Linked DNA regions of Canis lupus familiaris. The protein of the gene in region 1 purifies or fractionates together with the protein of each later gene. This does not show direct contact. Links are inferred from orthologs where the notes say so. Each region holds a gene or a part of one and is shown in the gene's direction. Other genes may lie near its edges.

Region 1 (7,376 bases):
GAAGCGGTAAGTATGAGGCCTGTTGTACATGAATTCTCGTTTAGTGAGTGGAGGACACAGATGCAGGTGTTCTTAAAAGGCAACTTGTGGTTCTTGTTATAGGGCTGTTCATGTCCAAACATCAGTTTTTTGTGAACTCATGCACAGTATATATGTTACAAAGGTCAAATCTGGGTCTCCAGGCAAGAAAATCAAGTAGCACAGGGTTCATTAGCATTCTGTGAGAGTTCGGTCACCCAGACCTACAGGTAGCCTCATGGAGGATAGCCAGCTGTGTTGACATTTTGGGTTAGCTACATGCCATAACTAAACTTCAGATCTAGCCAGCACAGGAAGTAGGGGAGGAATTATTGCTCCAGGCAGGTTTCACATGCTTACTTTGTGGAAATGCTTTGGTCTTGATCCCAAATATTCTACATGCCATGAACAAAACAGGTACCTGTATTGGGTGGTACAAGGAAAGAGCCGAGAGGAACAAATGACAGTAACCTGAGTACAAGGTAGAACCGGGGCCTGGAGCAGCAGCCTACAGTTAAATAAATGTGGGCTAGTAGATTGTGCAAACAAAATGAAACTGGCTTGGTAGTACTCCAAGTTTCTGGAGTAGTGGCCATACTCTTAAAGTGCCCTGTGAGTGAGGGCAATCCCTGCTCTACCACAGACTCAGCCTACGGAGGGTTTAGAAACTAAAGACAAGGTCGGGAGAGAAACAAAAGATAAGCAGCCGGCCTGGGACAGCTTCCACTTTGGAATCCATGCACTGGAAAATCTTTCCTTTTGATAAAGGGTAATGTAGATTCAGCTGAGAGAGAGCTGAGTGGATTTGTATTCCATCTGTGCTAAGTGGCATTTCAGCACAGATACATAAGTGGTATCCCAGGGCTTTGAGGGCACTGCTGAGCCAGTGGCAGGCAGATTCCAAGGAGCAGCAGAAGCTGACACAGGCAGCATGGAGAGAGGAGCTTTACCACTTGACTAGGTGTTGGTATTTGCTTCTGGAAAATTGGGGTTGCAGTTGGGAAACTAGTGATCAAGGGAAAGAGAAAGAGGGATCATCAGATCAAGAGGAGTGCAGACTCTGAGCAAACCTTTACAGCATTGCCTCTGGCTTCCAAGAGGGCAGAAAATGGGGCTTTTTAAGGCCTGGCCCAGAGCTTCAGAGTGTCACTCCTGCTTTCCATTGGTAAAAGCAAGTCACAAGATTCAAGAGGGAGGAAGTAGACAATACCTCTGGAGCGGGGGAGAGCCACGTGTGAACCAGGAAGGGAGGACTGTTGCCTGCTCTCTTTGGAGATATTGGTCCACTCTTCATGGAGACTTTCCCCACCAGAATAAGATGCCATACCTCTCAGACATGCCACTTGAGACTCTTCCTTGCGGTCACGCTCTGCTTTCGACTTCACACTTCTGATTAAAATCATGGGGGCCTGATCACAAGCTGATTGCTGAGCCAGGTTTTGTCCAACAGGTGCCTCTCTAGGTTTTTCCCTTTTTTCTTTATAAAAAAATATTGATATGGTATTTGACCTTTATCTTCCTTATAATTGATGTTATTTTACGCTCAGCTCTTTAGTGTGTTGCATGTATTTTGAACCTTGATTCCTGTCTCTGATGTTAGGATTTTGCCTGTCCCGGTTTGCACAAATTTGACAGGTGTGCCTTCCGTGTGTTTTATGCATGCAGCTGAATAAAAATTTAATAACTTGGGATCATGAACAGAATGCTGAGACAGTCTATGTTAGAGTTTTTCTCCAGGGTGATAAAGCTAACAGTTAATAGTATTCATGTGCCGTAGATTAATTACAGTGGTGTCCAGTTTTCTAACAGTACCCTGTATAAAATGAGCTAGGCATGCATGTTATGACTTGTTCTTAGAAAAGTAAAGGGTGCGGGTATCATGAACTTCTGGATTCAAGGGCAGATCTGAGCAAGAAGAGGGATTGGCACATAGGCTGGATCTTGAAACGAATGAGATTTAACTCAAGGTGATCTCTTCAGTGTTTATCTGAAGTGTCTTATTTACCTAACTGCTGAGATGTAGTCTCTGGGTTAGGAAGGATGCTGAGCCAGAGATGGAAGGAGGCTGAATGGGAAAGAGAACAAGGTCACACACAGAAGCCCTGGGTGGTTATAAATATCAGGTGAATAGTGTCTCCTGTCTGAGTGGCTGTGGGGAGAGCAGGGCCAGGCCCAGGTCTCATACTTTAGCTTTGCTTCAGACTCCAGTCATCTCCCGGGTTTATGTGACATTCTTAAATGCTTTTCCCCTGCAGGTGATTCCAGGTCACTGTGTCTTTGCCAGTAACACATCTGCTCTCCCAATCAATGAAATTGCTGCTGCCAGCAAAAGACCTGAGAAGGTAAATTCTGAACAGAGGAAAGACCCTGAACTGTTTTCCTATTACAGGCTCTCAGAGGAAGGTTTAGAGCATGAGAAGGGCCTGTGTGGATTGTGAAGTGAAGGGAGTGATGAGGTTTTCTCCAAAACTGGGCATAGAGAAACTAATACCATGACCATTCAAGATGCTGGGATAAGTGAAATGAACTATAACCAAAATAAGCTTTTCTAGGTGATCTGCATTCCAAGGTTCGGACTATAAAGCGTACCTTTATTACAATTAGGTATTTAAAGATAGGTCCAAGGAGCACCTGGCTGGCCGAGTTGGTAGCATATGACTCTTGATCTCAGGGTTGTGAATTTGTGTCCCATATTGGGTGAAGAGAGTACTCTAAAAATTTTTTTAAATTAAAAAATAATAAAGATAGACCCTAAAATAAAAAGGGATACTCCAGAATATCACTTCAGCTACAGAGTAGACACTGCTAATGATCTAAGACATGTTTGGTTCCAATCCCACATCCAAGAATAGAAGATCAGGAGGTGGGATGCCTGGGTGACTCAGTGGTTGAGTGTCTGCCTTCAGCTCAGGTTGTGATCCCGGAATTCCGGGATCAAGTACCGCATTGGGTTCCCTGCATGGAGCCTGCTTCTCCCTCTGCCTGTGTCTCTGCCTGTCTCTTTTTGTGTTTCTCATAAATAAATAAAGAAAATCTTAAAAAAAAAAGAAGAAGAAGAAGAAGATCAGGAGGTGTGGTGAGGTGTGTCCACCTATGGGTTCACTTAGAATTTCTACCCAGGACATGCAAAGGTAGAAGCACTTTAAGTATTTGGAATGATGCTTAGACATTTCTCTTTGGGCGTCTGCTGGACTAGAGCAACCTAGGGAAAGTGAAGGCACTCAAGGAGAAATGAAATACCTCACGTCTCTGGAGGATAGCAATTAGCCTTAGGTAACCAGAGCCAGCCAAAAGTAGGCAGGAAATATAAGAGACCTGTAAGCAGCTAAAATTGTTAATACAGAGTCCTTGTACTGAAAACACAAAAGTCTGTTTATTCCTATTCTAATAGTTTGGTAATACAAGGTAATCTTGTTTCCTCACACATAGCAGATTGGAAGTGATGTGGGGCCTGACAGGCAAGTGCAGGGATGGCAGGAAAAGGTCATAAGGAGAAGTGGCAGCTGATAATGTTACACTAAGGGAAGATACAACAACAGTATAAAGGGAGATGACAATCTGGCCATGTCACATCACTCAAAGCACCTCTGCAGCATTTTAAGTCAGTAAAGGAGAACCTTTGATGCTAACTTCTCATTTTCCAGTGGGAAAAGTATCATGCTTTGCAGTCCTGGCCTCCAGGTATCTTGGATAGCTTCCATAAGTCATCTGCTTCCCCTATCTCATATAAAATTAAGGGCAAAGGGTCACAGGTTGGGTGATCAGCCATCTGCTTATCCAGAACAAGTTGGTCACCTCTGGCAGAGCTTTCTTGAGTGATGAAAAATGGATTTTGCTTGAGGCAGTGATTATATGGGTGTATATACAAAACTCATTGAAATGAACACTTATACACTTATTGTGTATAAGTTATATATCATAAAAGCTAATCCCTTTTGCTTAGAAGTACTGAGTCTGAAACAGGTTTGGTTTTTTAAAAAATCATTTAGACATAAATTAAAGAACGTTTAGGATTTAGAAGCAACTTTTGGATTGGTAAGTTTATGAAACATTTAAGTGACCTATGTGTTACATAATGGAGAGTAGGCAGGCTCTGGAGACAGGCTAACTGTGATGGAATCCCATTGCCATCCACTGACTGGCCCTGAGCTACTAGTTTTAACCTCCTGATGTCTTTTTTCCTCATCTAGGTAGGACTGACTAGTTCACAGAGTGATGGATTAAATGTAGGGAATTAATGGCAATTGTATTAAAGAACAGTGGATAGCCAGTAATCAGCAAATGGTAGATATCGTTAATTATATCTCACAGCTAAAATGAGGGTAGACAGAGCAAAACTCTAAGTTTTATGATTAAATTGTTTTCTTCCATGGCAATTCACTTGGGAGGACTGTTAGCCTGAGGAGGAGGTTCTGAACTTCAGCATGTATTAGAATCACCTGGAAGGCTTCTTAAACACAGATCTGGGCCCTGCCCTGTCTCTCATTCAGTAGATCTGGGTCTGGGGTGGGCCTGAGCATCTGTAGTTCTAAATTTCCCAGGCAGTGCTAATGCTGCTGGTCAAGTTACTTCATTAGTGTAATGAATCTTCAGGCACATTTGAATGTTGATAAATCTTAAAAAAACAAACAAACATTTATTAGAAAGAGAGCTATGAGGTGGGACTTGGTGGGGAGAGGCAGAGAGAGAGAGAGAATCCCAAGCAGACTCCCCTTGAGCGTAGAGCTTGACACAGTGCTCAATCTTACAACCCCGAGACTAAAATCAAGAATTGGAAGCTGAGGGCAGCCCCGGTGGCGCAGCGGTTTAGCGCCGCCTGCAGCCCGGGGTCTGATCCTGGAGACCTGGGATCGAGTCCCGCGTCAGGCTCCCTGCATGGAGCCTGCTTCTCCCTCTGCCTGTGTCTCTGCTTCTCTCTATGTGTCTCTATGAATAAATAAATAAAATCTTAAAAAAAAAAAATTGGAAGCTGAACCAGCTGAGCCACCTAGGCATCCCTGCATGTCGATAAATGTTATTTAAACCCAGGATCCTGGGTGCCTGGGTGGCTCAGGAGTTGAGCATCTGCCTTCTGCTCAGGTCGTGGTCCCGGGGTCCCAGGATCGAGTCCCACATCAGACTCCTCGCAGGGAGCCTGCTTCTTCCTCTACCTGTGTCTCTGGCTCTCTGTCTCTCTCTCTCTCTCTCTCTCTCTCTCATGAATAAATAAATAAAATCTTTAAAAAAAAATAAACCCAGTATCCTGCTGGTGAGACCCATCTGTGTAAAATCCAAATACATCTCTGACAGTCTAGCATATTGACAGATTCTTCTGCCTACCTCGGTTTCCCCTGTCCTCAAAAAAAAAATGGCCCTAGGGCAGCCCCGGTGGCGCAGCGGTTTAGCACCGCCTGCAGCCTGGGGTGTGATCCTGGAGACCTGGAATCAAGTCCCACATCGGGCTTCCTGTATGGAGCCTGCTTCTCCCTCTGCCTGTGTCTCTGCCCCTCTCTCTCTGTCTCTATGAATAAATAAAATCTTAAAAAAAAAAAAAAAAAGTGTCCCCTCTAAACCAACAGTATCATTAATATGAGTGGAACTTTCATTCATTCTTCCCTGATAAATCTAATTTGGCCATGAGCTGTGATTTTGGCACTAATTCTTGGTAGAATCTATCACCCTCAGTGAAAAACCTTAGAAGCAGTTGGAAGAGGAAGATTCCAGTGAGCCCTCTGAACATACTGAACTTTTTATCAAAAAACCACAGAGCCAAACCACTCAACTGGATCAAGCAGTATTCCTGTATCACGACCACCTTTCTCTCCCTTGCTTTCCTGGCCAAAAATGAGTGCTATCCAGTTCCCTCCTCAGCGTTGTTACATCTGTTGGCTTTGTACTCCCCTTGCCAGGTGATTGGCATGCACTACTTCTCTCCTGTGGACAAGATGCAGCTACTGGAGATTATTACAACAGATAAAACGTCTAAGGACACCACTGCTTCAGCGGTAGCTGTCGGGCTCAAGCAGGGGAAGGTCATCATTGTGGTGAAAGTAAGGAGCTGTATAACAACAGAGTGACAGATGTGGGGAAAGTTCTGTTAAGATTCCTTGTACCTCCAGGCTTGTTTTGCCTATGTTTGCCTCAGAATCATACCAAACAACCTTTTGGTATGATTTTTCCCTTAGTTGTCTACAGTGTGGACAGTGGTATGGACTGAACTGCTAAGTCAGGGTCTGGGACATCGCAGGTTCTCCCAGCCATGCTGCCCTGGTTGGGGCTTCCCGTGCATTATAGTTGTAACAGTTCTGTTTGGGAAGATACACCACCTTGAATTTTGAAATGACATGTGGGGAAAAGAGCCTGCTTTCAGATTCTTCCACATTATCTCCCTTGGCAGGATGGACCTGGCTTCTACACCACCAGGTGCCTTGCACCCATGATGTCTGAAGTCCTCAGAATCCTCCAGGTTGGTACTGCTTTTGGAACATTGGAGACATCTTCCACTCCTTAAACCAGTCCTCTGACTGGTACTGTCAGGATGAGGAATGGGCTTCCTTCTAATACACTAAGTCCTGGCTCTTCTCTGAGGGAGCCCTTTTGTACCCAATCCTTCCACATAGTGGTAGAAAATCATGAGCTTTGCTGCCCTCCAATGGGCAGAATTTTAGCTCTGCTTCTTTAGCTGCATCCCCTTAGAGGCAGGAGCCATCCAGAACAGATAAGCCCACTTGGTCTGATCGGTGCTGGAGCAGCTTCTGCTGCACACACACCCCACGGGTGGTACCTCCTCGCTGGGCACTTACCAGACACAGGCTCCAGGGGTCTGCAACACTGCTCTGTGGTGCTGTCTCCTCTCTTACTTATGGGAAATTTAGCCTTGTCTGCCATGGAATCTCATTACTACTGAGAGTCAGAATTGCAAACAAGGAAACGAATAAAGTGTTCATTCTAAATGAATTTGTTCATTCCTTTAAGTGCCTTAGGTTAGGGAAGGCTCAGACTTTCCCTCCTTTGCTTTCCCTGAGTGAAACAGCCCCAAGTCTGGGCCTGGCTAGGTGGTACCCAGGAGAAAAGTGAGTGTTGGACTGGTTCTGTTTCTAATCATCAGCATGGGAGCCCTCGTAGGAGGGTCTGGAATGGGTGCCACCCCCCCACCCCCACCCTACTAAGGTCCCTGCTTCCATCCCATTCAGGAAGGAGTTGAGCCTAAGAAGCTGGATTCCCTTACCACAAGCTTTGGCTTTCCTGTGGGTGCTGCCACACTGGTCGATGAAGTTGGTGTGGATGTAGCAAAACATGTATCAGAAGATCTGGGCAAAGCCTTTGGGGAACGGTTTGAAGGTGGAAACATAGAACTGCTGAAGGAGATGGTGTCCAGG
Region 2 (7,911 bases), on another chromosome or scaffold:
AGACGGGGTGAGATTCCAGAGTCCCACCGAGTGTCCGGCAGAGCCAGACCGAGGAGCGGCCCCCGGGGGTGATCCTCGGCCCGGAGCCTTCGGAAGGACAAGAGGGCAGTTCATGGCGCTGATGTGAGAGACCGAATGCGTTTCTCCGCAGGGTCACCCTCAAGGGGCGGCTGCCCTCTGTCCCCACGGCCCTGCCCAGCGACCCAGAGGCCGCCAGCCTGAGCGTCTGCCCAGGAGCGGCTCTGAGTGCCGCCGTGAGGCCTGCCTGGTGGGCCTCCGCCAGGCCCAGCATGACCCCCTGTCCATCAGCCGCGCCCAGTGGCGCCCCGGGGCGCATCTAATTGCCAGCAGGACCCAGCCCATGTCAGGGGACACAGTCGGCAGCATCGCTCTGAGCAGCCACACGTGGGTGGAAGTGACTTAACTGTTCAATCTATTTGGAGACTTGCTTTTGGGGCTGCCACACGTCCCCCTGAGGCCCAACACGAAAAGAACCCTGCTGCTGCTCCCCAGTAGCCCCACCTCCCATCTCTGCGGATCAAGTGGAGGCGGACAGGCCCCCAGATCCGCCCTCTCCTGAGCAGCGGGACCCGCATCCCCGGACTCCTCCTGGCCGGAGGCAGAAAGGGAGGGCAGCGGGACCACATGCCGTCTGGCCCTCAGGTCGCTCCTCCAGAGGAGGAAATGTGGGGGAGCCCACACGCCCCCCTCCGCGATGACTCTAAATGGCCCTTTTCTTCCCAGCTCTCCCTTGGTGTCAGCAGAAGGGCAAGTCCAGTGTGTGTCACACGCCGCTTGCTCAGGGACCAGAGAATTTCCCTTTCCTATGAGCGTGCAAACCGGCTCCGTCGTGCCTTGTGTCTGAGCTGTCATATGTTTGTGTCCGCACAGTGGACAGGCCGGCACCCCAAAGCGGGCAGGGGTGGTCCCATCCCACCCCAGAGCTCCCCACGGTGAACCCACCCCACTCCCACAGCTGCTCCTGCGCAGCTGATGGAGGTCGTGGGTGACAGCATGGGGGGTTGGGGAACTAACCTCCCCAGTGTGACCCAGCCCGGCTCCCGATGCCCCAGCCGCTTGGGCCACACTGTGTCCAGGCCTGGCCACCAGGCACCCCTCATCCAGGGCCATCCTAGACGGGCACGAAACCTGAACGTCCAGGCCCGCGGGGGCAGGCAGGGCGCCGACAGAGTCGGGGTGCCAGGAGCAGGAGGGCTCTGCGGCACCTGGGGCAGCTGCTCGGGGACCACCGCTCATGTCTGTAAAGCAGAACGCCCCTCGGGTGGGGGAGCAAGGAAGGCTCTGTGGGCCAGGCAACCGGACAAAAAGGATGGACACGGATTCTGCATTGCACCCAACACTTCCTCCCCGTGTGCCGGCGGCGGGGTCCCCACACCTGGCCGCCTTCAGCAGAGCCACCTGCAGCAGTGACCGCCTAGCGGCCACGAGTCTGCCACTGTCTCGCCAGCTGCCCCCTGCACTTGGCCTCCTTGCTGCTTGTCAACAAGGCTCTTTGCCAGGTGCAGCCCCATCAGAGCTGGGGGATCCCCCCACTGGCTGCCCCCCGCTCCCTGGCCATGTACCAGCCCCGCGGAGAGGCTCTGGTCACAGCTCCTCTCCTTGCCCCCGACTCACACCGTAGTGACTCGGAGGAGACCTTGCAGGTAGTGAGAGGATCTCTCCGGGGGATGGAGCCCCGCTACACCGAGGAGGTGCCCCAGCGGGGCCGTCCTGGCAACCTGCCATGTAAGCGTGGCCGTGGACACTCTGGCCACGCTGCTGTCTGAAGACCCGGAAATGCGCTGGACACCGACCCCGCCCTGAGGAATTTCCCAGGCTCCCTGGATTAAGCGGTGGCAACAGCGATCACCATAACAACAGGACAGAGAGCGCCTCGGGCGGGTTAAGCCCCAGTCCAGGCCCCCGCGGGACAGGGAGGCACGTGGCCGGGGGTGAGCCCCTGGACAGGGCCTGGGCCAGTGTTCCTACCCCTCCCCGGGTGGCCCGAGCCAGGCAGGCACGTGGTGTGGAGGGGGGAGGTGTCCAGGTGGCTGAGCCAGGCCTAGGCAAGAAGGAGCAGGCCCGTGTGCGCGTGTGTGTGTGTGTGTGTGTGTGTGTAAGCTCGCACACGCACGCGCTCTACAGGGGTCTGTGAGTCACTGACACGATGAGGCAGCAGGTGCGTGGGGAGGGCAGGAGGTCTGTACCCTGGGTTGGGTCCCCACAGCCTCCATACAATGACTCAGTGTCTCTGGGTGAAGGGAGCAGCCTGCGCGGGAGGCAGGCAGGAGACCCCAGGCCCCTCCTGGGGCTGCGGAGGGCCGGAGCCCCCTCCCTGCACGCGGCCCACACCGCTGATGTGTGTGGGGAGCACCGGGGTGGGGGGCTGCTCCTGGCAGGACGTGAGGCCGGGTGCCCCGTGCCACGCAGCGGGCATCTCTGGGTCCTCCACCGGGGGTGCCCACTTATTGCGTTGCTCCATTTGTGCCAGCGAGGCATCTGGCCTGGCGGCCTGGCGGTCTCTGCGGCCTTTGCCCACATGGCAGGGGGGGCGGCAGGAGGCCAGGGCGGGGGTGCACGGCTGGGGAAGGCTGGGGAGGAGAGGAGCAGAGAAGACGCGGCCTCAGCTCCTCACCCCCGCCCCGACCGCGTCCCCACTGCCCCCTGCCTCCGCGGGGGCCCCCGGCCCTCGGGCCTGCACCCGGCCTCCCCCGCTCCCTGACCTGTCGCTGGCCCCGGCCTCATCCCCTCCCAGGGCGGCCCGCCCCGCCCCGCGACCCGAGCGGGCAGACACGGCCCACGTCGGTCGCACTTGTGTCTCCCCGCGGAGGGGACCCGGGCCCGCTGGCCGGCGGCAACCACCAAGTGGTCGGGGCCTCGTCCCGGGCGGGAAAGGTGGGGCCCGGGGTCCCCGCTCGGCTGCGGCGTCAGAGTGAGCGTCAGGTGCGAGCCGGAGCCGCGGGAGGGGCGCCCGGGGCGCACCCAGGGCGCGGGGAGGGGGCGCGGGGGAGGCGGCGCTGCGGGAGCGGCGGGCGGGGCGCGCTGCCAGGGTGCGGGGAGGCCGGGGGCGGGGCCGGGGGCGGGGCCGGGGCGGGGCCGGGGCGGGGCCGGGGGCGGGGCCGGGCCGGGGGAGCCCCTGATAGGCGCGCGGCGCGCGTGACGTCACGTCCGGCGGGGGAAGCCCTGCCTCGGCTCCCCGCCCCCGCCCCGCCCCCTCAGGTGCAGCCGCCGCCCCGGGCCCCGGGCGTGGGGGGGCGCGTCCCCGGGGACCCCGGCCCGGCCCGCGCCGCCCCCTCCGCGCAGTCCCGCCCCCCCCCTCCCCGGGCGGCCCGGCCCGGCTGCAGCTCGCCCGCCGCGCCCCGCCCCTGCGCGCCCCGCCCCGCCCCGCCCCGCCCCGCCCCGCCCCTGCGCGCCCCGCCCCGCCCCCTCCGGCCGCGAGGGGCCGGGCCCCGGCAGGGGAGGCGCCGAGCCGGGACTGCGCGCTCGCCCCGCCGCGCCGTGTGCCGCCGACCGAGCGGCCGGACCTCGCGCCCCGCGCCCCGCGCCCCGCGCCCCGCGCCCCGCGCCCCGCGCCCCGCGCCGCCGCCGGCTTTTGTTGTGGCGGCTCCTGGGCCGCGGGCCGCGCCGGGACCTTGGCTCTGCCCTTCGCGGGCGGGGGCTGCGCGGCCCCGGGCGGGATCCGAGGGCGGCGCGCGGGCGGGCGGGCGGGCGGGCGGCCCCGCCATGGAGCCGCGGGCCCGAGGCTGGTGGCTGCTGTGCGCGGCCGCCGCGCTGGCCGCCTGCGCCCGCGGGGACCCCGCCAGCAAGGGCCGCAGCTGCAGCGAAGTCCGCCAGGTCTACGGCGCCAAGGGCTTCAGCCTGAGCGACGTGCCCCAGGCGGAGATCTCGGGTGAGTGAGGGCGCGGCGCCCCCTGCGCCCTGGACCCCGCGCCCCGCGCCCTGCACCCCGCGCCCCCGCGCCCCGCGCCCCCCCGCCCCCGCCCCCGCGGGGACCCGGAGGGAGGCGGCGCCCCCGACCCCCCCAGGCGGCCCTCGGGCCTCTCGGGGAGCCGCCCCGGCCCGGCCCGAGGCTTCCCGCGGGGCCCCGGCGACGGCAGCCCGCGTGCGCGCAGCCGGGCCCCCCCCCCGCCCCGGGTCCTGGGCGGCGCGGGGCCCCCGCGGGGTGCGGCGCGAGCTGCGCGCGGGGGCGGGGGCGCCGCGACCTCGGCCCCGCGCTCCTGCCCGCGGAACTTGTGCGCGCCGCCGGCCTGGCCCTCGCGCTGCCTCCGGCGGGGAGTCGAGCTGCAGGTGGTCGCGCCTTGGATCCCGCCCAGGGGCCGCGTCTTTTCTTTGTACGAGCGTCGACCCTCCCAGGCATCCTCAGCCCTGCAGCTGCCCGCGGGCCCGCCCGCCCCCTCCCTGCAGGCCTCGGAGGAGCTTTGCCGCCAGCCTGTGTGCGGGTGTGCGGGTGGGGGGTGGATGCAGCGTCCCACGGACCACCCAGACCCCCGGGCTCCTCGCAGTGGGAAGGCGCGGGTGCCCGGGCGCGGTGGACAAGAGCAGAGCCAGATTCCTCCAGGGAGAGGTGGCTCCCCAAGTAGGGGGAAGCTGCAGGGAAGGGCTCTGCTCTGCTCTGCTGGGATGGAGACCCGCGGCCGGGGGCAGGGGGTGCAGGGGGGCCGGGGGTGACCCCGCTACAGACCCCGTGGGGTCCCTGACCACGCCTTGCTGGGGAGGGGGAGGAAGCCAGCCTGGTCCTGGCCCAGGCTCCGGAAGGTGGGGCACCCTGAGGGCTGCCTTGAGAGATCTTTGAACTACCCGCCCCCCGCCCCGGGGTTCAGGAGAGGCCCCCTCCGGAGGACCCCAAGCAGCCCTTCTGTGTCTCGCTCCGCTGAGAGTTCCTGTGTAGGACCGCCTCTCTGCCGGGACAGCCTGGTGGGCATGCTGGGCGCCGGGGCCAGCACGGGGCCTTGTGCACAGCTTGGTGTGTGCTCCGCTCCCACACGGGCACAGGAACTTTCTCCTGGGTGTCCCTGGCCTTCTCGCTGGGCCCTGCCCCAGCTGCCCCCCGCCCAGCCCCGGATCTCGGGTGGAAGCCTTCCCCCGTGCGTCTCCTTCTTGTATCCACTCCCACTTGGCCGCTGGGTCTTTACCGACCATCCTGAACTTACTCGAGTCCACAGGCCTCTGTCCTGGCTAGGCCGAGAGCAGGGTGGCAGCAGGGTGGCAGCGTCTGGGCAGCTGCCAAGGGCTGGGAGAGAGTGGGGCAAACAGGGCGCGGGGGGAGGCTGAGCTGGGAGCTGGGTCTCGTCCACATTGGGGTGGGGTGCAGTGGATTAGGGGCCCCGTCAGAGTGCATGGTGGTCTGAGTGTGACGGGTAGAGATGGGGTGCTGCGTGTGCAGCTGGGGGAGTAGGTCACCCAGCAGCTGTCCCAGCATCGTACTGGCCGGGGCCTCGGCTGCCGCCCTCCTCGGGGCCTGGAAGGCCAGGGACTGTGCCCCCCGCAGGGCTACCGCCCTCCCTGCCTGCGCCCCCTCTCCCCGAGCCCCAGGGCTCCTCCATCCCAGGAGCTACTCTCCCCGACTCCTGTGGCCAGAGCCCCCGTGGGCCTGGAGCTCCAGAGCCCCCCCGGGGCCCAGGCGCCGAGATGAGTGCCAGCGCCACGTGGAGCAGAGGATACAGGGTGACCTCGCGGGGCAGCAGCAAGCCCGAGTCCCCTCCTGTTGCAACTGGGCCCCGCGTCCGTGGGCCAGGCGCCCTCTGCTGGCCCCGTGCGGCACGCGCCTCCGGGGAGCCCCGCCTGGGTCTCCTCTCCCAGGGGCCTGCCCCCCCAACTCCTCCCGCGTGGGGCCTGGGGTCACCCCCCTGGTGCCAACCCCCGCTGACTCAGCTGGCCCAGGCCCCGAGGAGCCGCCGGGAGGCGAGGAGGTGGCGTTGGCTCTGCGGGCGGTGCTTACAGCCTGTGTCCGTCCGGGGACCAGAAGCAATGGTGGGCGTGTGAGTGGGGCGTCAGGGTGCCTGGGGCTCCCGTCCGAGAGCCCGTGTGGTTTCCTTGGACGGCCGTGCCTGGCACTTGGTGCTGACGGCTGTCGTTGTACAGGTGAGGGAGCAGCAAGCAGGCCTGGGGGGCAGCAGCCAAAGGCCGGGGGGCTCCCTCCCTCGGGCGCCCGTGCTTCAGAGAAAGTGAGGGTCACCGGGGTCCCTGTGCCAGGCGCCGGGCAAGCGCAGGGCCCCTGCTGAATCACACGCCCACTGGCACCCCGCCCGCCAGCTTGCTCCTGGTTTCCAGACGCCTCCTCAGCCCCAGCCCGGCCTCCCGACACTCAGTGACCGGCCTCATACGGCTCTGACCCTCCGCGGGGGCGCTGGGGACGGGGACCACCCCTGGCCGCAGGCTTCTCTGCTGTAGCCACGGGGGCTGGTGCAGTGACCGGCGCCAGGGAGGGTCTCAGTGAGCAGCTGGGGACCCACGCAGGTACCACGCTCTGCCGGGCCACGCAGGGTCAGCATGGGGGGAGGAGGAAGGCCTGGACAGAGGAGGGGTCTAGAGGTCCAGCCCCGGGGCTTGGTGCCGTGAGAACCGCTTGGCTGCCCTTCTGCCCTGGGGCTGAGGCCTACCTGCCAGCAAGAGTGGGTCCCAGGGTCCCGTGGACCCCACAGCAGGGACCACCTCTGGGTGCGCTGGCTCTGACCTCAGGTGGGGTGGGGTCTGGGGGAGGGTCCCAGAAAGGGCCATCCTGGCTTCACCCAAAGGAACCCACCTGGACTCTGTCTGGGGCTGTGGTCTGCGGGGCTCTCACAAGCCACCAGGCACGTGGCCTGGTCCCAGACCACGAAGTTCTGTGTACCCCGTCCTGTTCAGAAGCAGGAAGCACCCCGTGTGCCCGGCTCGGGTCCCCAGGCGGTCCTCGGCCCCCAACCGCACCGCTGCTCTGTCCCCCCGCCGCTCGAGGACCTGTGGTTTCATCATCCCCGGCTTTGAGGCGGGGGGAAGCCCAGGGGAGCCAGGATTTGACGGGGCCACCTGCATGATGCAACGGTCTGAGCACCTTGCTGGACACGTTGCCACGCTCCTGCGAGACGAGGGGCCTCCTCCCTGGGCCTTGGTTCACGTGACAGTCCTGCTGTGCAAGCCGCCCGCCGCACTTGGCCTCTCTGTGCCTCTGCTTCCTCGCACGCCCCAAGGGGACTAGTCACAAGCCCCCGAAGGTCCCCAGGAGGGGCGCTGGCCCCACGCACTGTGCAGCTGGCCCCACGGGTAACCCCCCTTGGCCCTGCCCTGAGGTCTTTGCAGGCCGTGCAGACCCGTCGGTCAGTGGCGTCCGGCTCTTGACAGGCCTCGTTCTGACCCACACTCACCGCGCATCTGCCTGTGGGGTCAGACGAGAGAAGGTCTTCGTGGACCTGACTGACGAGGAGGACGCCCCGGGACGCCATGTAGCCCCCTGTTGACCCCAAAGCCTGTGCCGTTCGCCGCCGCCCAGTCCTGGGCCGTGAGTGTCCTGGAGGCCCAGGCCCTGGGAGACCCCCGCTGCCTCCTCCTGCTGCCTCTCGGGGCCCGGCTCCGTCTCTGCGCCCCGCTCGGAACACGTGCTGACGGGCACCCCCCGCGGCCTCTGATCCGGCCTCCCGGCCTCCATCGGGGCTGCGCTCTGGGTGAATCAGCCCTCCGGTAGCTGGGCCTCGTCCTCCGCCTCGTCCCGATTCCCGTCGGTGGAGGCCAGCTCCTCGGGCCTCGGGGCCTGGGTCAGGTGGCCCCGGGCGTACGGGGACGGCCCGGCTGTGCGTCGCTGGCCAGCAGGTCCGCGGCAGCGCCACGCCGGCCCCGTCCCCCGGGACCCACGGACAAATCAGGGGCGAGTGAGCCTGGGTGGCGGGGGACGTCCATCGGGCTCCGGGCTGGCGCCAGTTAAGGAACCGCGGACGCCGG

Evidence for each region.
Region 2: the proteins of HADHA (region 1) and GPC1 purify together in Homo sapiens (co-immunoprecipitation; 3 studies listed by BioGRID and IntAct, with this or other methods). This does not show direct contact. The link is inferred for Canis lupus familiaris from reciprocal best matches to the Homo sapiens genes HADHA and GPC1.

Annotation. Positions count from the first base shown.
Region 1 is NC_049238.1:20,376,371-20,383,746, reverse strand, and holds part of HADHA (trifunctional enzyme subunit alpha, mitochondrial), read left to right. Parts: coding exon 1-6; intron 7-2,273; coding exon 2,274-2,360; intron 2,361-5,906; coding exon 5,907-6,047; intron 6,048-6,394; coding exon 6,395-6,463; intron 6,464-7,190; coding exon 7,191-7,376. UniProt on the Homo sapiens protein: Mitochondrial trifunctional enzyme catalyzes the last three of the four reactions of the mitochondrial beta-oxidation pathway.
Region 2 is NC_049246.1:50,780,641-50,788,551, forward strand, and holds the start of GPC1 (glypican-1), read left to right. Parts: upstream 1-3,723; coding exon 3,724-3,889; intron 3,890-7,911. Other genes in the region: proline-rich protein HaeIII subfamily 1-like, read right to left, coding at 2,243-2,591, 2,724-2,919, 3,632-3,725. UniProt on the Homo sapiens protein: Cell surface proteoglycan that bears heparan sulfate. Binds, via the heparan sulfate side chains, alpha-4 (V) collagen and participates in Schwann cell myelination.